Oryzias latipes: one gene and its partners. The protein of the gene in region 1 binds, or shares a complex with, the protein of each later gene. Links are inferred from orthologs where the notes say so. Each region holds a gene or a part of one and is shown on either strand. Other genes may lie near its edges.

Region 1 (7,381 bases):
CGTAGGCGGGGCCATACAACGCTGCTCGCCATTTCAGTGACGTTTCGGCAAGCCCTGTAGATGCAGAAACTTCAGAAACGCCGCTGTTTATTGTACCTGAAGGACTTCAGGAAAGTCCAAAAACTAAACTCGGCGCGCTTCCCGCTCCCTTTACCTCGTTGGGACTCCTGAGTTCCTGACTTCCTTCAAAGTGCATCCTGGGAAATGTAGGCTACATCTTTTCACGAGGAAACAGGTGTGAGCTGCTGTTCTACTTCCTTACAGTTCTGGAGGGAAGTGGTGGAAGACACTGAAGTCCGGGAGCTGATCTGGGACAAAAGCGGCCTGACCCAAGGTGAGGGCGTGGCCCGGAGGCACACGGGTGTTTGACGAGCTGTCATCGAATGTTTGTTTGACCCGGCTGGGTTCACATGACTCTAGACTTGGTTGATGTGAAATCCATAAATCCATTAACTTTTAAAGCTGTTTTTCTTGTCTCAAGTTTTGGATGTTAAAAAGTAAGAATGAAAAAATTCACTTTTGTTTATTTAAAACTGCCAGATAAGTTTTCTTAACCAAATGAGATGAAGATTCAAGTAAAAATGTGCAAAGAATTGAACAGGAGTGATTCATGACTGGGACAGATGTGCAGATGTTTTAGTACTGTCACACACACACACACACACATCTGGAGGAGGCTGTGCGTCAGTGTCTGTGCAAGTCCAAACCCCTGGCGGCTCTGAAGGCCCTCCCCCTGTGTTGTCTGCGCAGACGGCACGTGTGGAGATCGCTGGCAGAGCCTCTTCCACCCGCCGCGAAACCAGGGCATCAGCGACATGGAGGCCCAGCGGGTGCTGCAGGTCGCCGTCATCCTGCGAAACCTCTCCTTCGAGGAGGCCAACGTCAAGCTGCTGGCGGCCAACCGAACGTGCCTGCGCTTCCTTTTGCTCTGCGCCCACTGTAACCTCATCTCACTAAGACAGCTCGGACTCGACACGCTGGGCAACGTGGCGGCCGAGGTACGGCGCTCGAACGTCAGCGCTCTCACCAGTTTAATGTCGGACAGGATTTTCATGGACCGCTCGGTCCGAGAATGAAGTTGGCGTCTCCGTTGATTTAAAGTTTCCAGTTTTCTTTAACTTTTGAGGGTAGAGATGGTCTCCCTCCTCTGTAGCGTCTTTAACCTTGGTTTCTAGATTTCCTGTTGGAACCGTTCAAATGTGATTTTAGATTTTCTCTCGACTGTCAAAGTGGAAGCTAAAACATCAGACGCCAGCTTCAGCCTCGGATGCTGGACGCTCCCCTCTGTTTGTGTGCGGGGGGTTTGAACATGCGGTTCTCTCGCTGCAGCTCCAGCTCGACCCCGTTGACTTTCGGACGACGCACCTGATCTTTCACACCATCACCAAATGCCTGATGTCCAGAGACCGCTTCCTGAAGATGAGGGGTGAGTCTCCTCCCTGCTCCTGGGCTCCTCTATGTCAGATTGAGCTGACCCCCCCCCCCTGCTCCGTGTGTCCCTCAGCCATGGAGATCCTGGGGAACCTCAGCAAAGCGGACGACAACAGCGTGTTGATCTGCGAGTATGTGGACCAGGAGTCGTACAGGGAGGTGATGATGCTCCTCACCCTGCCCGACCTCATGCTCCTCATGGCCTCCTTGGAGGTGCTGTACCTGCTGGCTCAGCTCGGAGAGGTGTCCTGCAGTAAGATCGCCTCCGTTGACCACAGCATAGGTATGAACCAGAACCGGTCCCAGCAGCAGAAGCAGACTGGTCCGTTTGTCAACGTCTCGTTTCATTCGCCCAGACCTCCTGGTGCGGCTAGTGTCCGTGGACCTGCACACGTTCGGACCCGACGCGTTGACGGCGGTGCGTTTAATCGAGCATCAGGCGAATGCTGAGCAGGTGTCGGAGGTGCGGCCACAGCTGGTGGAGCAGGTCCCCGCATCGGCGCCGGCAGCAGCAGGTGAGCACTTTGGCGTTTCAGAAACACGCCATTTTCCCCCCTTGGGGCTCCCTGGGGGCGGATTCAGGGGCAAACGCCTCTGTACATCTGGACTGTTTGGGTTTTATGTTTGTAAAGATGCAGTGTTTGCTCAAAAACAGTTTTGTTGTTGTTGTGAGAGCTGTAAGCCAGTGGGAGAGAGTGTAAACAAAGAGATGATGGGAAATAAGCCGAGGCTTACTTCCGTGCCAGTGGACCCGTCCACAATTCAGAGGTTAAAATCTAATGAATTCTTCCGCGGATGGTTTCCAGGTATCTGTTGTAGCCACTCCTCCAGCTTGGGGGTTACTGCCCTGAGTGCTCCAATTACCACAGGCACCACTGTCACCTTCACTTTCCATGCTTTCTCCAGTTCTTCTCTGAGTCCCTGGTATTTCTCCAGTTTCTCATGTTCCTTCTTCCTGATGTTCCCATCACTTGGCACTGCCACATCCACCACAACGGCTTTCCTCTGTTTTTTGTCCACCGCTACAATGTCTGTTGGTTCGCCATTACCATCCTACCAGTCTGGATCTGGAAGTCCCACAGGATCTTTGCCCTCTCATTCAAAATTGCTGTAAACGGGAGGAAAATGGAATAATTCAAGTTAGGGCTGAAACGATTCCTCGAGTTATTCGAGTTACTCGATTACAAAAATTCCTCGAGGCAAAAACTCTGCCTCGAAGCCTCGTTAAATTCCCATGACGCGCACTATTCGCGCGGCGCAGGGATTTCATTTGACCGTTTATTCTCACGGACCTTTTGAATTTAGTTGGCGCGATGGCGGAGAATAGATCTATAAATCTTCTTCCACTTTCGGCTTCTCCCATCTGGGGTCGCCACAGCGAACGAGTCGCATGATAGATTTGGCAATGTTTTACGCCGGATGCCCTTCCTGACGCAACCTTCTCAAACCGGGCTTGGAACCGGCAGAGGTAGAGAAGGGAACAGGGAGCAGCCCGGAGTCGAACCGTGGTTTCACGGATGGAAGGCGCCGCAAACCAGCACGAGTTAAACCGGCTCCCCAGGAGAATAGATCTATAAATAAACGGCAGAAATAGAGCTGGCATACCCGCGCGTGCCGCCAGCAGCGAGCGAGAAGCGGCGTCAGCCGCTCCGCGGCGACCAGCGCGGGCCGCGGAGGGGGCGCTGAGAGGCAGGGGCTGGGACAGGCGGTAGCTCGCCTTTCGGTGGACCGCGAGGCTTCTTTAAGTATTGCAAAAATAACAAAAGCATTATTTTTACACGAAACATAAACAATGATAATGATCAAATATGTTTTTCTGATTCTTTTATTTCTAATGGCCTTCCATTTTGGTGTTGTGCCACCCTTTCAAAGTCTTCTGTCCCCCCCCCATACAAAATGTTCTAGCTCCGCCACTTCTCAAGACCAACTTAAAAACACCAAAAGTAACATTTGCATCATAGCGGATCTTTAAAATCAAATGCTTGTTCATTTTACAACCACATCATTTTTGTTATGCAAGATTTGTTTTGGTTGTTCAAAAACACACACAAATCGTTTTATCCGATTACTCGATTAATCGATCGATTAAGTGCTAGATCAGGGGTCACCAACCTTTTCGAGACTGAGGGCTATTTCATGGGCACTAAGTGGTATGAAGGGCGCCACAGGACCTGTTTACTAAATACCTCCTAGCCCCCCCCCCCCCCCCCAACCTCAACCTATTCTCTAAATCTTTGCATTACATGAATCATAAGAATGCCCAGACATTGTGTAGTTTATTTGATCTATTTAAACTTTTGTAATAGACCCTTATTTTTATTTTTTTAAGTCATATTAATAATATCAATAATAATCCATTTTATTTAAAGCGCCTTTCAAGGAACCCAAGGACCCTTTACAAAACAAAGGTTAAGGTTATTTTTGTTTTCGTATTTGTTTTTTTGTTTACCTTTATCTCAGAGTTGATATTGGTGTCATTGACAGACATCCCATGATTGATTGTTGAATATTTGCTTCAATTAAAAAAAAATTTTTTTGGTGCATTTCCTGCGGGCGCCACAAGGGGTGCTCGGGGGCGCATGGGCGCACGCGGGCACAGGGTTGGTGACCCCTGTGCTAGATTAATTGATTACAAAAAGAATCGATAGCTGCAGCCCTAATTCAAGTACTTCGAAGACCGATTGGAAATAACTTTTTTTAAAACAAAGCCAGAGCTATAAAGCTATAAATCAGATATATAATTCTGTGAATACATTCTTATGTCCCTGTTAATAATAAATGACACCATTTAGTCCAAATGTGGTGTAAACAAAAATAAAAGTAGCTAAGCGCTTTCATTCAAGTTATTTAAGACGTTAACTGCTTTCAGATTAAATTACCAAAGATAAAAAACATGAACCTAAAGTCCATCTGAAAGTAAAGCTTTTTGAGATGTGATGTATGGTTTATAAGTTGATGTTTTTCTCAGCATGTTCAGGAGTGAGTGAACGTCTCTGGGCACTAATATCTCCTGCAGTGGAAAAACTTTAGTCCTGGGAATTCACAAATGTGCCACTTTGGAGAGCAGAGGGAACACATGCTGTAGAGATTGCTGCTCTGGTTGACACAGCAGTGGTTGAAACGTCTTCATTCAGATTTCTGCCTGGCGTTCCTCCATCGATCCGTTCTGTGCCCCCGCAGCTCCTCTTCCTCCTCTCCTGCGCTCAGCGTTCGCACAAATCCAGGGAACCACGCTTCCAAATGTCCTGCATAGCGATCTTTCATCACGGCACGGGAACCTCCTCCTGGACGTCTTTGGGTTTCTGGACTTTAGTGCAGCGTTTTCTTCTCCTGCTGTTGGATCTCATGCTGGGTTGTGTTGTAAACATGAGCTGTGTTCCTGAGAGGGGAAGACACGCCTTCTTTCACACACTTGTCTGCCAACATACAGTTTTTTTGCTCTGCGCTGTGGTCTTTGTGAAGCTGGAGCCGCGGGTTTGAGTCTCAGATGCTGCAAAACTGCATCAAAACGGAAACGTTCTGTTGAAATCCTTTAATAGGATTTGCGTTTACATGTGGATTATTACAGTTTAAGTCCTTTGATTTATTGTAAAAGCCTTCCCAGTGCTCTTTTTAATTATTATCCATTAAAGCGGGGCTATCAGAATGGAGCGGAGCAGGGAGTTTGTAGCTCTGTCACCAAGAGAATCTTTTTCAAACAATTTCTTTTGGTCTGCTCCTGATTTACAATAATTTCAATAAAGAGATGCTCAGAAAAGCAGTTGTTCATTTAATTTTCTTGATATGTTGTTCTTCATCATCAGAAACGTGTTAGAAAACACCAAAAACAGGATTTTCATCAGTGGATCTTTAACTGAGTTTGCTGACCTCTTGTGGAGAAACCAGGAACCTGCATGTGTCGCCGCTCATTTCCTCTACAGCTTGATAATAAAACCAGTTTTTATTAATCTCTGAATGCTTTCTGTCCCGTCAGTAACGAGGGTCCCAGTTCAGTCCTCCCAACCTCCTCCTGGGATCGTTGAACTGGATGGAGAGAAGTTCACGCTGCAGTGGTGAGATACTTTATTTTTCATAACTCATTTGTTTGTTTGTTATTTTTTCCCCCCTCATCTGTTTCTGCTTCCCTCACAGGTTAAACGCACACTTCGAGACCAACTCTGAAGGCTCTGTGTCTCGGTCAGAGATGTACTCTGAGTACTTATCCACGTGCAGCAAAATGGGACGAAGCAATATCTTGAACTCCACCGGCTTCCTCAAGTGTCTGCGGTGAGTCTGCAGCATCAGCACAGACTTTATCCCATCAGATTCTTCAGCTGCAGGACGATGAATGCAATGACTCTGTCCTCCATAACCGGACTTTATCCTGGCTGTCGCAGGACGGTGTTTCCCAACCACACCATGCGGCGGCAGGACGAGGCCAAAGCCGGCAGCCAGGTCCAGATACTGCTGGTGGGGATCAGGCCGAGGGCCATCCCTCTGCCCGTCCAGTTATACTATCAGCAGCAGCAGAACCCGGCTCCTCCCACTCCTCCTTCTGCGCCTCGACATGAGGCGCCAGCAGACGCTAAGGCCCCTCCTCCAGGTACGACCGGCAACTGCCTTAGTCTGCTGACCCATTGGTACACCTCCACAGCACAGTGTTTACATTCTGTTATGGAGTTTGTAAAGATTTGACTGTATAAGAGAACTGGGCGTTAATCTGTACGCTATGGTCACTTAGAAAAAAATTAAATAAATCGTTGTTTTTTTTAGCACTTTATTCTTTTTTCGGTTGAAATCACTTTTTCCCAAAAACGGACTATTTAATACGTGGTGCATCGTGTCGTCATGGTAACGACCTCGACTGCAGCGGCAAAGGAAGGCGATATATATGCTGGTCGTCACGATGGGTTAGATAGACAGAGGGAAAGTTCTCCTCTTTCTGCTTGTTTTTGTCCAGAGGATGAAGCTAAAGTTTGTTTTCAAGAAGCCGGCGCAGTGATACGGAACATTCAAGCTATGTGACCGGAACTACTTTTGCAGGCGTGCATTGTCACTTTCTAATGCACAGCCAGCAGCCAATCAGAATCGAGTATTCCCCTTGACCATGGTGTGGTAATGGAGCTGTCTATTTCTCTATAGACGTCTATGGGATTTTGGCATCTTGGAGCCAGAGGGTACTTCCTGTTTGGAACTTCAGGGGGCGGAGTCACTGAGTCCAGTTCTCATATACGGTTAATGCCGCACATTTGATCTTCTTGATGGAGTTTTACAAAGATCTTTTGTGATTAAAGAAAAAAACAAGTTGAAACTGTAGAAAAAAATTAGTGATTGTTCTTCTGACAGTGTTGTTGGATTCTTTCCCTGCAGGCAGTTTTTGTAGCCATAAATCATGACGACAACCGACGGCAACGTTTTTAAAAAAAAAAGGGTCTTCACGCACAGACAGGAAGTTTCTCTTTTCATCTAAACTCTGTTCTGTGTTTTTTTAGGTTTACCTCCCCCACATTTTGTCCGGGCACCGGGCCCCACCCTCAACTCCAACACAGCCACGCCCTCCACTGTTTTAACTGCACACGAACCCCCCCAAGCAAGCCACCAGACAGTTGTCCGGCAGCCGGCACCCCCACCTGTTACCACGCATCTGCCCCAACAGCTGACACCAAACCCCCTGGCAGCTCAGCAGCAGCTGCAAGGAGGGCCGGTGGTCCAGATTCCAACATCTCCCCCTGCCACCCAGAACCACAGCCCCCAGAACCCCCTTCCATCCAACTCGCAACAGCAGCACTCCCCCATGCTACCAGCCGGAACGCCCGTCACGCTATTCCAGCCGTTCCCCCAAGGCCACATCCTCACTGCCAAGGTGCAAAGTGTGTGCCCCCCCATCTCCCAGCACCCACCTGTGCTTCAGTCCCCGCCTCCATCTGGACTTCCGGGCGGGGCCTCCCAGGGCGACTCTCAGAGTGTCGCC
Region 2 (3,500 bases), on another chromosome or scaffold:
AACTATGTCCTAGAAAACGACACAGGCTTTTAGATTGAAATTAGAACAAAAAAACCTCTAGGAACGCTTTGAAACTAGATCAAAAAGGACTTTAGGTATTTTGAGGATTAGTTGACCTTTTGCTAACCCCCCCTTTTCCCTCCATAAGCCCCCCCAGTACAAGCTGGACCCCCGTCTGGCCCGTCTGCTGGGCGTGCACACGCAGACTCGGGCCAGCATCATGCAAGCCCTGTGGCTTTACATCAAGAACAACAAGCTGCAGGACTGCCACGAGAAGGAGTTCATCAACTGCAACCGCTACTTCAGACAGGTGAGACTCTGGCGAGGGGGCGGGGCTATTAGAGTCCGACTCCTGGCTCTAATTTACTGTGTCCTGTTCAGATCTTTAACTGTCCACGCATGAGGTTCTCTGAGATTCCCATGAAGCTGGCGGGCCTGCTGCAGCACCCTGACCCCATCGTCATCAATCACATCATCAGGTGGGGAGGGGTTGTTCTTTCTTCATCGCTCTGCGCGAGTGTAAGAGCAGCTCTACAAACATCAAAAGTTCAGTGATATATTTAAGAACCAAAGTAAATGATGAGGAATAGAAAAAGGAATATTATTTATTTAATGGCAGCAGCACTTTTAACCCCTTCATGGGGTATGTTAGTACTTATTACTAAATCCAGACTCCATTGAATTTGGCATCACCTTGAACCCAAAAAACATTGAAGAATATCTTTTTTTGTAGAATTGGTAATTATGTAAGGCATGAAGGGGTTAAAGAGAAGTCTTCTAGGGGTTAACCGAAGAGTAGAATAATTGGAAGAAGCAAATATTTGTCCTAAAACTGGAAATCATTATTAATTTCTGGCTTGTTGCAAATGCTAAGACTTCTTAAAACTTGAGCATAAAGTTTTATTGTTGAAATAACTTTGTTTATAGGATGGAGAACTAAAATGCAGACCAGAGATTTCAAAACATGACATGGATCATTTGTCTCTTACTATCTGCCTCTGCAGTGAAAAGGATTTCCTTCTTCAATATGTGGAGTTTTTTGTAAAGCTCTGGAAAAGCTAGAAATGGACTTTAATTGTCTCTGAGAAGAACATAAAACTGTGAAATATAGTTCATACTGCTTTTGATCTAAAGTCAGAAACAAAGTAAATCTGTTTGTAATGAAAACACTTACTGGATTTCGTTATCAGTGAGCACAAACGTTGGCTTTGTCAACAAATGCACAACAAACACGACGTGCCTGGGATGTTTTTAGAAGCCTTTTCGTGAAACCTCCCAGTAGCTATTAGTCCCTTTTCTTCCGTGTCACAGTGTGGACCCCACAGACCAGAAGAAAACCGCTTGCTATGACATCGACGTGGAGGTGGACGACCCTCTGAAAACCCAGATGAACAGCTTCCTGTCCTCCGCCAACAGCCAGCAGGAAATCGCCACTCTAGAAATGAAGGTGTGGCCTCAGGAGTTCCCGCAGAAGCTTTTTACAGCTGCAGCTGGTTGTAAGCATTCATTGTAAAAATGTGTTCATTTGTTTCTTTTTTTTTACTTCAGATTCATGAAACAATCGAGTATATTAACCAACTCAAGACTGAGAGAGACTTCATGCTGAGCTTCAGCAACAGTCCTCAGGAGTTCATTCAGGACTGGCTGAAGTCTCAGTGCAGAGATCTGAAGGTAATGTCCTCACCTTTGACCTTTTTCTGGAGAATTCTTTACCTTCTTAAAGCGTTTCTCCTGGCTTATACCCGGATTCTCTCACTGCTTTCTACATATGTTGCAGTTCTATTTTAATGTAACCTTGACATGATCAATGACAGCAAATATGACGTCACCCATTTGCCAAAAATAAAATCTAAGAAATATGAATATTTTACAAGCACTATTTATGAATGTGGATATTGTAAAAAAAAAACAAATTGAAATAGGTTTTATTCAAATGACAAATCTTTGAAATGCATTGTGGTCTATATTTGCCAATCTAGTGGCAATCTGGGAAATTTCCAGGGCACTTGTGTTTTGTAAATGTTGATTTAGACAACCCAAAAAAAATGGCGTACGCCCTATAAAGTGCACCAAGTAGTGAGGGAATTCGGACTGAAGCTTATTTATGAAATATTTCTGACATATTTTTTTTTTTTTGGTTCTTCAGCTGATGACAGATGTGACCGGAAACCCGGAGGAGGAGAGGAGGGCTGAGTTCTACGAGGCTCCCTGGATGCCAGAGGCAGTGGGTAGATACGTCTACTCCAAAGTGAGTAACGGTAGAGGCCGAAGCGTTTTCCGATGCTCACATTCCAAAGACGCACTGAAACGAGCTTTTTTTCTCTTTTTTTTAAGGTGCAGCAGCGAAGACAAGAGTTGGAGCAGGTGTTGGGAATCCGACTCACCTGAAGACGCCTTCCAGACGACCAGATTTCAGCCTCACGTCTCATCGGAAACGGATGTATGCAGCAGTCCGCCTTAAAATATTGATAATCCCGGCTCTATGTCTTTAAGTAAACATAGATTCTGCGAGCCATGATCCCAGGTTTCCCGCAGACCGCCTTTGACCTTTCATTTTTTTCTGTTTTTTGCCTGTTCTGTCCACATGTTATTGAGTCGTACACTGTCTATCTAGCCTTATTTTTTTCTTCAGTGTCTTAAAGCTTGTGCAATGATCACTTCTCCTCCTCTCTATTAAAGTCCTTTCTGTCGATGCTCATGTGCTCACGTTGAGCCTGCAGCAGATTTCTTTGTTGCTTCAGCTAAGGGTCACAGTCCTTTCAATCCCCAGACCGCTCTTCTCCAATTTCAGCCTCATTTATCTTGTTGTCTTGTAAAGTAGGGTGTTATCAAAGGGAAAATCTTCAGAACAAACATCATATCTGAAATAAAATGAACCCCGGCGGCACTTTTCCAGTTTTTCCGTCTCCCTTTTGTCTATTTAAACGTAGGTGGGGACCTTCCTCGGTGCAGGAAGCATCTGTTTGCTCTTCATCGCCACACTGAGCCGGTTGAAGTAATGTCTGCCTTGTAATGTAAAAACCTTTTTTTTAATGGTACACAAATGTTTAAGCACTGGTTCTTGCCATCCTGTGGTCCTTCACGGGTGTTTTTTTTTTTTTTTTTACTTTCTAAAAGCCATAATTATTCAATGCACCTGTATTTGAATATTTAGCCATACTTTAAATACACTTGCTTCAGAAATGTCTTTTGTTTAAAAAAAAAATGTTCAAAAATATTTTTATGCAAATAATAATTCTGCAATATTTGTCTTTATGTGTGTTGGGGCTGGGTTTGTTATAAAAATCAAACCTTTTCTGTGTCGGGCCAAGATTGTCCAACAAAAAATAGGTATATTTTATAATGGACAACTCTTTGTTTTTGTATTTTCTGAAAGTTTACATTCTGTTATTGATTTTTGGTGTGAATGATTTTAATTACAAAAATCATAAACTATGTCTAGTGTTGTAAATTGAAGCCTCAGATCTTTGACTGGTGTTGACGGTAAAATAGGAATTCAG
Region 3 (7,381 bases), on another chromosome or scaffold:
CTTCAATAGCAACAGCTGTTCAACAGCTTGTTAACGCAACTTTCTAATCAGCCAATCACATGGCAGCAACTCATGTGTAGACATGGTTCAGACGATCTGCTGCAGTTCAAACCAGCATCAGAATGGAGAAGAAAGGTGATTGAAATGACTTTGAACGTGGCATGGTTGTTGGTGCCAGACGGGCTGGTCTGAGGATTTAAGAAACTGCTGATCTGCTGGGATTTTCACCCACAACCATCTCTGGGGTTTACAGACAATGGTCCAAAAAAGAGGAAAATGTCCAGTGACCAGTGTTAGACAACAGAAGATTGTAAAACCGTTGTGTGGTCTGATGAGTCTCCATTTCTGCTGCCACATTGGGATGGTCGGGTCAGAATTTGGCATCAACAACATGAAAGCATGGATCCATCCTGCCTTCTATCAACGCGTCAGGGTGGTGGGGGTGTCATGGTGTGGGGGATATTTTCTTGGCACACTTTGCGTACCTTAGTACCAACTGAGCATGGTTCCAACACCACAGCCTACCTGAGTATTGTTGCTGACCATGTCCATGCCTTTATGACCACAGAGAACCATCTTCAGATGCTACTTCCAGCAGGATAAGGCAGCTTGTCATAAAGCTGGAATCATCAGACTGGTTTCTAGAACATGATAGTGAGTTCTCTGGACTCAAACGGCCTCCACACTCACCAGAACCCATTAGAGAACTTTTGGGATGTGGTGGAACGGAACAGGAGATCTGCATCATGGATGTTCAGCCAACAAATCTGCAGCAACTGATGCTGTCATGTCAACATGGACCAAACTCTCTGAGGAATGTTTCCAGAACCTTGTTGAATCTATGCCACCAAAGGTTAAGGTAGTTCTGAGGGCAAAAGGGGGTCCAACCAGGTACCAGCAAGGTTTATCTAATAAAGTGGCCGGTGAGTGTAAATATGGAGAGATTCAAAGTGAAGTTCTCCTTCAATCAGTGAAAACATTGAGGATGAAACTTGGCTGGATCTTCCAGCATGGCAGTGATCCCAAACACATCACCAGTGTGCCTACAGAAAAATGCATTTTAAGGTTCTGAAATGTTGTTGCCAGTCTCCACATCTAGAAAATCCAGCAACAACCCCAAAAGGTCACAGGTTTAGAGGAGATGTGCATGGAGGAACGGGCCTAAACAGCAGCTACAGTGTGGGAAAACTTTTTCAAGACTTGCAGAAGATGTTTGACTTCTGTCAATGCTAACAAAGTAATGCCATGAACTTTAGTAACTGACCAAATACTTATTTTCCACAATAATTGACTCTCTAAACAACAGACAATGTGATTTTCTGGATTGTTTTTTCTCATTTAGTTTAAAATATGATGAAAATACAGACTTGTGTCATGTTTTAAGTGCAAAAACGTAAATAAGTACACTGTGGAGGAAAACTTGTGACTGACTGCAGAACCAGTTTCGTACTTTTGTTGTCTAATTTTACTTATCTTATTTCTTTTTAAAATTTTGCCCTTCCTATATTTACCCTGACTTGAGAGATACCAAAGAAAAATTCTGATGTTCTGTATGTGCAAACGGCAGTAAAACCTTGACTTGACTGTAAGTCCATGCAGAACTCTTGTGACTTGTTTGGACTAAAATTAAGATTAAAGATTGTGTTTTTCTTTTAGAATTAGTAGAAGTGATGTTGTGTTATCATCCTTTTTTCTTGTATTTTTCACTCTTTACATTTCTATCCTTTTTTAATTTTTTGAGCTAAGAGTCAAAACAGTTGGAAAAAGAAAAAATCAAAGTCCACTCTGCATCTTGACTGAATAATGCACTTAAAAGGTGCGACTACTATTCAATTTTACAATCAGTGGGAGTCATTTCTGCCAGAATCAATGGCAGAAGTGAAGTGAATTTCGTGTTCTTTGCCAGACCAATTCAATTGAGGAGTTTACGTAAAGGTTTTAGTGGTTGCATTGCCTTCAGATGCATGCTAACAAGACATCAATGTCCTGTTTGTCAGGTCCATGCAAAGTGGATTTTAGATTTGGACCAGTACAACGAGTGGATGAACGAGGAGGACTATGAGGTTGGAGAGGGCTGTCCTAAGAGGAAGAGGATCTCTGCCAAGACCCTGACGGATGAGGTGACCACACCTGATGAGCGGAGAGACAAGAAACCGAGCAGTGCCAAGAAGCGAAAACGCTCCCCATCGCCTTCCCCCACCCCTCCACCCCAGGAGAGCAAAAAGAAGAACACCAAAAAAGGGTATGCAGACATCTCCGGATGCATGAAGCCATTGCCTCTGAAATTAGGATGCAGAACAAGGAAGGATGTTGACAGAAAAATGCATTTGATAAAGCTGATCCTGTCTTAAGCCCTCTTCTCATTCAGCGTCCGAAACCCTTCTCCAGTCCCGACACACACTGCAGGGTTTAGCCGTGCTATAATATAGATCAAAATAACCTTCTGTCCTTCATGTATGTGCTGATAGACCAACAACCCCATACACCAAGTCTAAACGAGGCCAGAGAGAGGAGGAACAGGAGGATCTGTCCAAGGACCTGGATGAAACGTCACCTGTTCCACCGTCTGAAGATGGGAATGCAGCAAAGACAAGTATGCACATTTACATCCCTGTTCACTTTAGATAAGATGGAACTGTGAAAACACACCTTATTGTTCACTCTGACAACCGTTCACTCAGTCACTGTTGGTGAAACATGAACAAAGGGAGGATTGTCACCTTGGTAGCTTTCACTTAAAGGCGAATAAATCCTAACCTTGTGTTTGTGGGACAGTTGGTAAAGCTGACAGAACTTGACTGCACGGATGTTCCTGTTGAAGGGGCTGGTGATTTCTTTGAAGAAGCCCTGGAGTTGGACCTATTTACTTAGTGAAAACCTTCTGTTTCTGTGCAGATAATACCAAGAAAGACTCAGATTCCACTCCAGTCAAGGGAGGAACTGACATGGGTGAGTCTAGTAAAGGGGGCAGACGCATTCGTCTGGCAACTGCGTGGGGTGTTGAGAAAAATATATTCTATTTGTTGATGTATCGCAACAATTCATTTGACGATACTTGTATTGATTTAAAATACTGTCAAGAGGATTTTTATTTAGTTGTTTATGAGCGTCCATCAGCGTCTGACTCCTTTTCCTCTTAGGCCCCCGACCGCTAGTTGGCAGCACCGCCCACTGAGCCTCTTTGAGCAGCTCTATAATGCACCAAAACAGATCTCGTGAGAATTAGCTTAAGTTAAATGTTCAGGTTTTGTTGTTATGAGACCTGAATTTTTAATTTCTTAAAATAAAAATGAAAAATTGGTGTATATTTATTCATATCTAAGGGGAATCTGACTGGAAATATGGGATTGGGCAACTATACATTAGGACTTAAACACTGTCCATATAACCTAACCTGACAGAATCAAATGTAAAAGGATTTATGCTAGAGTAACAAGCACACATATGTTTCTATGCAACTGTAATTGTCGCTTTAAAAAGTTATAATAAATAAATAATGAGTTATTTAACATTAAGGAGTAGTTACATTTATTTATCAGTACATTTAGTTACATGTCTAAGTTATATCTGGCCCTTTGAGGACAGCCACTATGCTGATGTGGCCCTCAGTGAAAATGACTTTGACACCCCTGCTGTAGCCAATACACACCCCTTGGAACTGTTTTATTATTACTAGCTGTTCTTCTGTTGAATTGATTTGATTTATTGATTGATTTCAAGCATTGTAGTCAAAGCAATAAAGAATTTGCACATATTTTTTAAACTCATTACAGAAATTTTGAAATGCATAGATTAAAAAGACAGAAAATAAAACAAAACAAAACAAAACAAAAATGTCACTTAAATCACATTTGCTTAATTAAATACAGTGATCATTAACTAAAGTATAAGTATAGCTTGATTTATTGCTGGAAAAGCAGCGGGAATAAGCAAACCTATATAATCCCACCCCTACTGAGTTAATTCATTTTACAGTTTTTGTAATCCGGTTCTGATCCGATAGAGTCTTTTCAAGTAACAAAATGATTGATTATCTTCAGAAAACATTCATTTATTTATATCAGTAAACAGTATCGGTAACCAATATGTGATAACCATTGATTATTATTAGAACACATGATGACATTAAACCATTAATTATTGCTGCACATTGCAGATCAAGTAAACAAAATCAATAGTTATTGATTGTAATTTAAACGTTTCATTAATCATTATTACACATTACAATGTAAAACTCAGTGGTTGTAATTAAAAGAGCTTTGATTATTTCACCACAATCAAGTTCACACATGTATTTAGAATTATTCAAACAGCTGTTGATCCTTAAATCTTCTTATTTTCATATTGTGAAATCAGAGTTTCTTCATACCTTTTCTTGAATATTTGGATATTTGAACATTTTTTGAGCTCATTACTTAACTTGTTCCAAAGTTTGTTGCCACACACAGAAACTTTTCTTTGTGGTTCTTATCAGTTTGATCTTGACGTTCCTACATCCTCTCAGTTTGTAGCCTTGTAGCCTCCTTCATTTTCTAAGAACTGTTTCTGGATGTTGAATGGTAACGATTTCCCACTGACTCTGAATTAAGCAGATGAGCAAGAGGACGAGTCCATGGAAACCACAGGGAAGGTATTGTCACCTCCAGCAGCGGCGCTTTTAAAACATGGACGCAAACATTCAGAAAAGACGTGTTTGTTTGAGCTCGGGTGTTCTTGTTCCAACAGGAAGAGGAGGAAGGCTCTCCGAGTGTGAAGGGGGAGCCAGTGAAGAGTTCAGATCTTCACGAGGACAACGTGACTGAACAAACGCACCACATCATCATACCAAGCTATGCTGCCTGGTTTGACTACAACAGGTACAAATGACCCTTTTCAACTTATTTAGCAGGAGTTGATCTTCAGGATCATATTCAGTATACAATGTTGCAACAGTTGAGCGTTACAATAGTGACATGAACTCAAAGCTCTTCATAAACTCTGTGATGCAGTGTTCATGCCATCGAGCGCAGAGCCCTTCCTGAGTTTTTCAATGGGAAGAACAAATCCAAAACTCCTGAGATGTAAGTCCTGCATAGATACTGTTCCTTAAAGAAAGTAACAGATTACTATATTTCTTCACCTTTGTTGTATTGATGCACTGTGTCGTTTTGGATGATCTCCGTTTTCTTCCTCTGTCTCGTTCTGTCAGTTATCTGGCGTACAGAAACTTCATGATTGACACCTACAGACTAAACCCTCAGGAGTATCTGACCTCCACCGCCTGCCGTAGGAACTTGGCGGGAGATGTGTGCGCCATCATGAGGTAAGTGGAGCATCTGTTTACATCTCCTCTCACATCTAGCAGCTAACAGGCTGTCAGTACTTCTTTGTTTGTTTGCTCTACAGAGTCCATGCCTTTTTGGAACAATGGGGGCTGATCAACTACCAAGTGGACTCTGAAAGTCGGCCCACACCGATGGGACCCCCACCCACCTCTCACTTCCATGTCCTGGCGGACACCCCATCCAGTTTAGTTCCACTGCAGCCCAAGACCTCCCAGGTGTGTGTATCCTCAGACATTCTCATGCAAATGAAACCTGACCCCGATTGACCTTTTTCCTTCCGTCCCGGTTTTCCTGCAGACTCCTGCCCCCCAGCCAATTATGTCTTTTCCTGATAAAATGAAGGAGAAGCCAACAGACCTGCAGAACTTTGGGCTGCGGACTGACATGTACAGCAAGAAAACTTGCTCTGTGAAGGTAACAAACCAGCTACAACAATCCCTGCACTGTTAATCAGTTTAATTTATCATTATGAATCAATTTTGACAACAAATGTTTGTGTGAAGAGCAAGAGTGCAGCGAGTTCCATGAGGGAGTGGACAGAACAAGAAACGCTACTACTCCTTGAGGTAAAACATGTCTCACGTTCATTGTTGTGGCTGTGATTTCCTGTTTTTTCCTGCTAAAACTGTGAGACATTGTGTTATGACTCTTTACTAGTAGGACAGCTGAGATGGCGCTAAATCACGTCCTCCTTTCTGTCAGGGTTTGGAGATGTACAAGGATGACTGGAACAAAGTGTCTGAACACGTGGGCAGCCGTACACAGGACGAGTGCATTCTGCACTTCCTGCGGCTGCCCATTGAAGATCCATACTTGGAGGACAGCTCCTCATCGATGGGCCCTCTGGCCTATCAGCCGGTACCCTTCAGCCAAGCAGGAAACCCCGTCATGAGCACTGTGGCCTTCCTCGCCTCTGTTGTTGACCCACGTGTGGCGTCCGCTGCGGCCAAGTCGGCTCTCGGTGACGCATTGATTCTACATGCACTGGTGATGCTTGACTAACGTTCTCCACATTTACAAGCATGAACTTCCTCCCTTTCAGAGGAATTCTCTCGGATGAAGGAGGAAGTTCCTGCTGCGCTTGTTGAGGCCCACGTACGGCGGGTGGAGGAAGCGGCGAGGGTCAGTGGCCGACAGGATCCGCTCTATGGTTTGGAAGGTAGCGGCATCGCAGGAACTGGCTTGGAGGAAGGAGAGCGTCCTGGTAGGTTTGAATCCACTGCATTCAAACTGCACAACACAGAAACCCTACGAGTGCAGCGACATTTAACTGCTGGACTTGTCTTCCCCTCAGAGGAAAGCAACGATGAAAGCAAAAATGACAACCAGTCAAATGAAGAGAAGAAAGAGGCCAAAGTATGTTGCATAGTTTAAAGTGGTGGAATTCAATTTGGGTAGGCATGTCTTAATCTGGGTTGGTTCACAACACAGGACAGCAAAGAAGGAACGATGGTGGAAGAGGAGAAGCATACAGAGAATGAGAAGAAGGAAGAAGAGAAAGGAAGAGAGGCTGAAGGAGACAGGGAAGGAGACAAGACAGAGGCGGAAATAGGTGTGAAACGATTTCTTCATGGACGGAGAAAACTGAGTTTTTCTCCAAGTTGAAAGATAAAAACCATTTTTTTTTCTTCCAGGCAATGAGGAGAAGGAAAAAGACAGAAAAGAGGAAACAGAAGAGGGACAAAGAGAAGGAGAGAGTGATGGAGAAAGAAAGGCGAAAGTGGAACGGGATGTAGGAGAAGGAAACCTGGCGACTGCTGCCGCCTCTGCTTTAGCAGCTGCTGCTGTCAAAGCCAAGGTGAAGTGAACTTCATTTCATCGCCTTCAGCCACTTCTACAACATCTGATTCTTAATCACCTATTTTCCAGCATTTAGCCGCAGTGGAAGAGAGGAAGATCAAATCCTTGGTGGCTCTGCTGGTGGAGACCCAAATGAAGAAGCTTGAGATTAAACTACGACATTTTGAAGAACTGGAAACCATTATGGACAGAGAGAGGGAGGCTGTGAGTCAGACTGGCAGAAGATCAGATCACTGAAGAAGTCCCAGTCTTAGTGT

The links.
Region 2: arid2 (region 1) and SWI/SNF-related matrix-associated actin-dependent regulator of chromatin subfamily D member 2 share a complex: the UniProt entries of both Homo sapiens proteins name them as parts of the SWI/SNF-B (PBAF) chromatin remodeling complex. The link is inferred for Oryzias latipes from reciprocal best matches to the Homo sapiens genes ARID2 and SMARCD2.
Region 3: arid2 (region 1) and smarcc2 share a complex: the UniProt entries of both Homo sapiens proteins name them as parts of the SWI/SNF-B (PBAF) chromatin remodeling complex. The link is inferred for Oryzias latipes from reciprocal best matches to the Homo sapiens genes ARID2 and SMARCC2.

The regions. Positions count from the first base shown.
Region 1 is NC_019881.2:4,001,255-4,008,635, forward strand, and holds part of arid2 (AT-rich interactive domain-containing protein 2), read left to right. Parts: intron 1-264; coding exon 265-334; intron 335-750; coding exon 751-998; intron 999-1,329; coding exon 1,330-1,426; intron 1,427-1,504; coding exon 1,505-1,714; intron 1,715-1,787; coding exon 1,788-1,946; intron 1,947-5,404; coding exon 5,405-5,483; intron 5,484-5,562; coding exon 5,563-5,697; intron 5,698-5,807; coding exon 5,808-6,013; intron 6,014-6,902; coding exon 6,903-7,381. UniProt on the Homo sapiens protein: Involved in transcriptional activation and repression of select genes by chromatin remodeling (alteration of DNA-nucleosome topology). Required for the stability of the SWI/SNF chromatin remodeling complex SWI/SNF-B (PBAF).
Region 2 is NC_019877.2:6,911,382-6,914,881, reverse strand, and holds part of SWI/SNF-related matrix-associated actin-dependent regulator of chromatin subfamily D member 2, read left to right. Parts: intron 1-148; coding exon 149-310; intron 311-381; coding exon 382-479; intron 480-1,311; coding exon 1,312-1,447; intron 1,448-1,548; coding exon 1,549-1,671; intron 1,672-2,146; coding exon 2,147-2,248; intron 2,249-2,334; coding exon 2,335-2,388; 3' UTR 2,389-3,500. UniProt on the Homo sapiens protein: Involved in transcriptional activation and repression of select genes by chromatin remodeling (alteration of DNA-nucleosome topology).
Region 3 is NC_019863.2:4,295,565-4,302,945, reverse strand, and holds part of smarcc2 (SWI/SNF complex subunit SMARCC2), read left to right. Parts: intron 1-1,997; coding exon 1,998-2,242; intron 2,243-2,468; coding exon 2,469-2,593; intron 2,594-2,895; coding exon 2,896-2,949; intron 2,950-4,589; coding exon of another isoform or gene 4,590-4,592; coding exon 4,593-4,630; intron 4,631-4,725; coding exon 4,726-4,856; intron 4,857-4,988; coding exon 4,989-5,060; intron 5,061-5,188; coding exon 5,189-5,302; intron 5,303-5,385; coding exon 5,386-5,539; intron 5,540-5,621; coding exon 5,622-5,738; intron 5,739-5,827; coding exon 5,828-5,890; intron 5,891-6,026; coding exon 6,027-6,285; intron 6,286-6,366; coding exon 6,367-6,680; intron 6,681-6,755; coding exon 6,756-6,876; intron 6,877-6,958; coding exon 6,959-7,122; intron 7,123-7,193; coding exon 7,194-7,328; intron 7,329-7,381. UniProt on the Homo sapiens protein: Involved in transcriptional activation and repression of select genes by chromatin remodeling (alteration of DNA-nucleosome topology).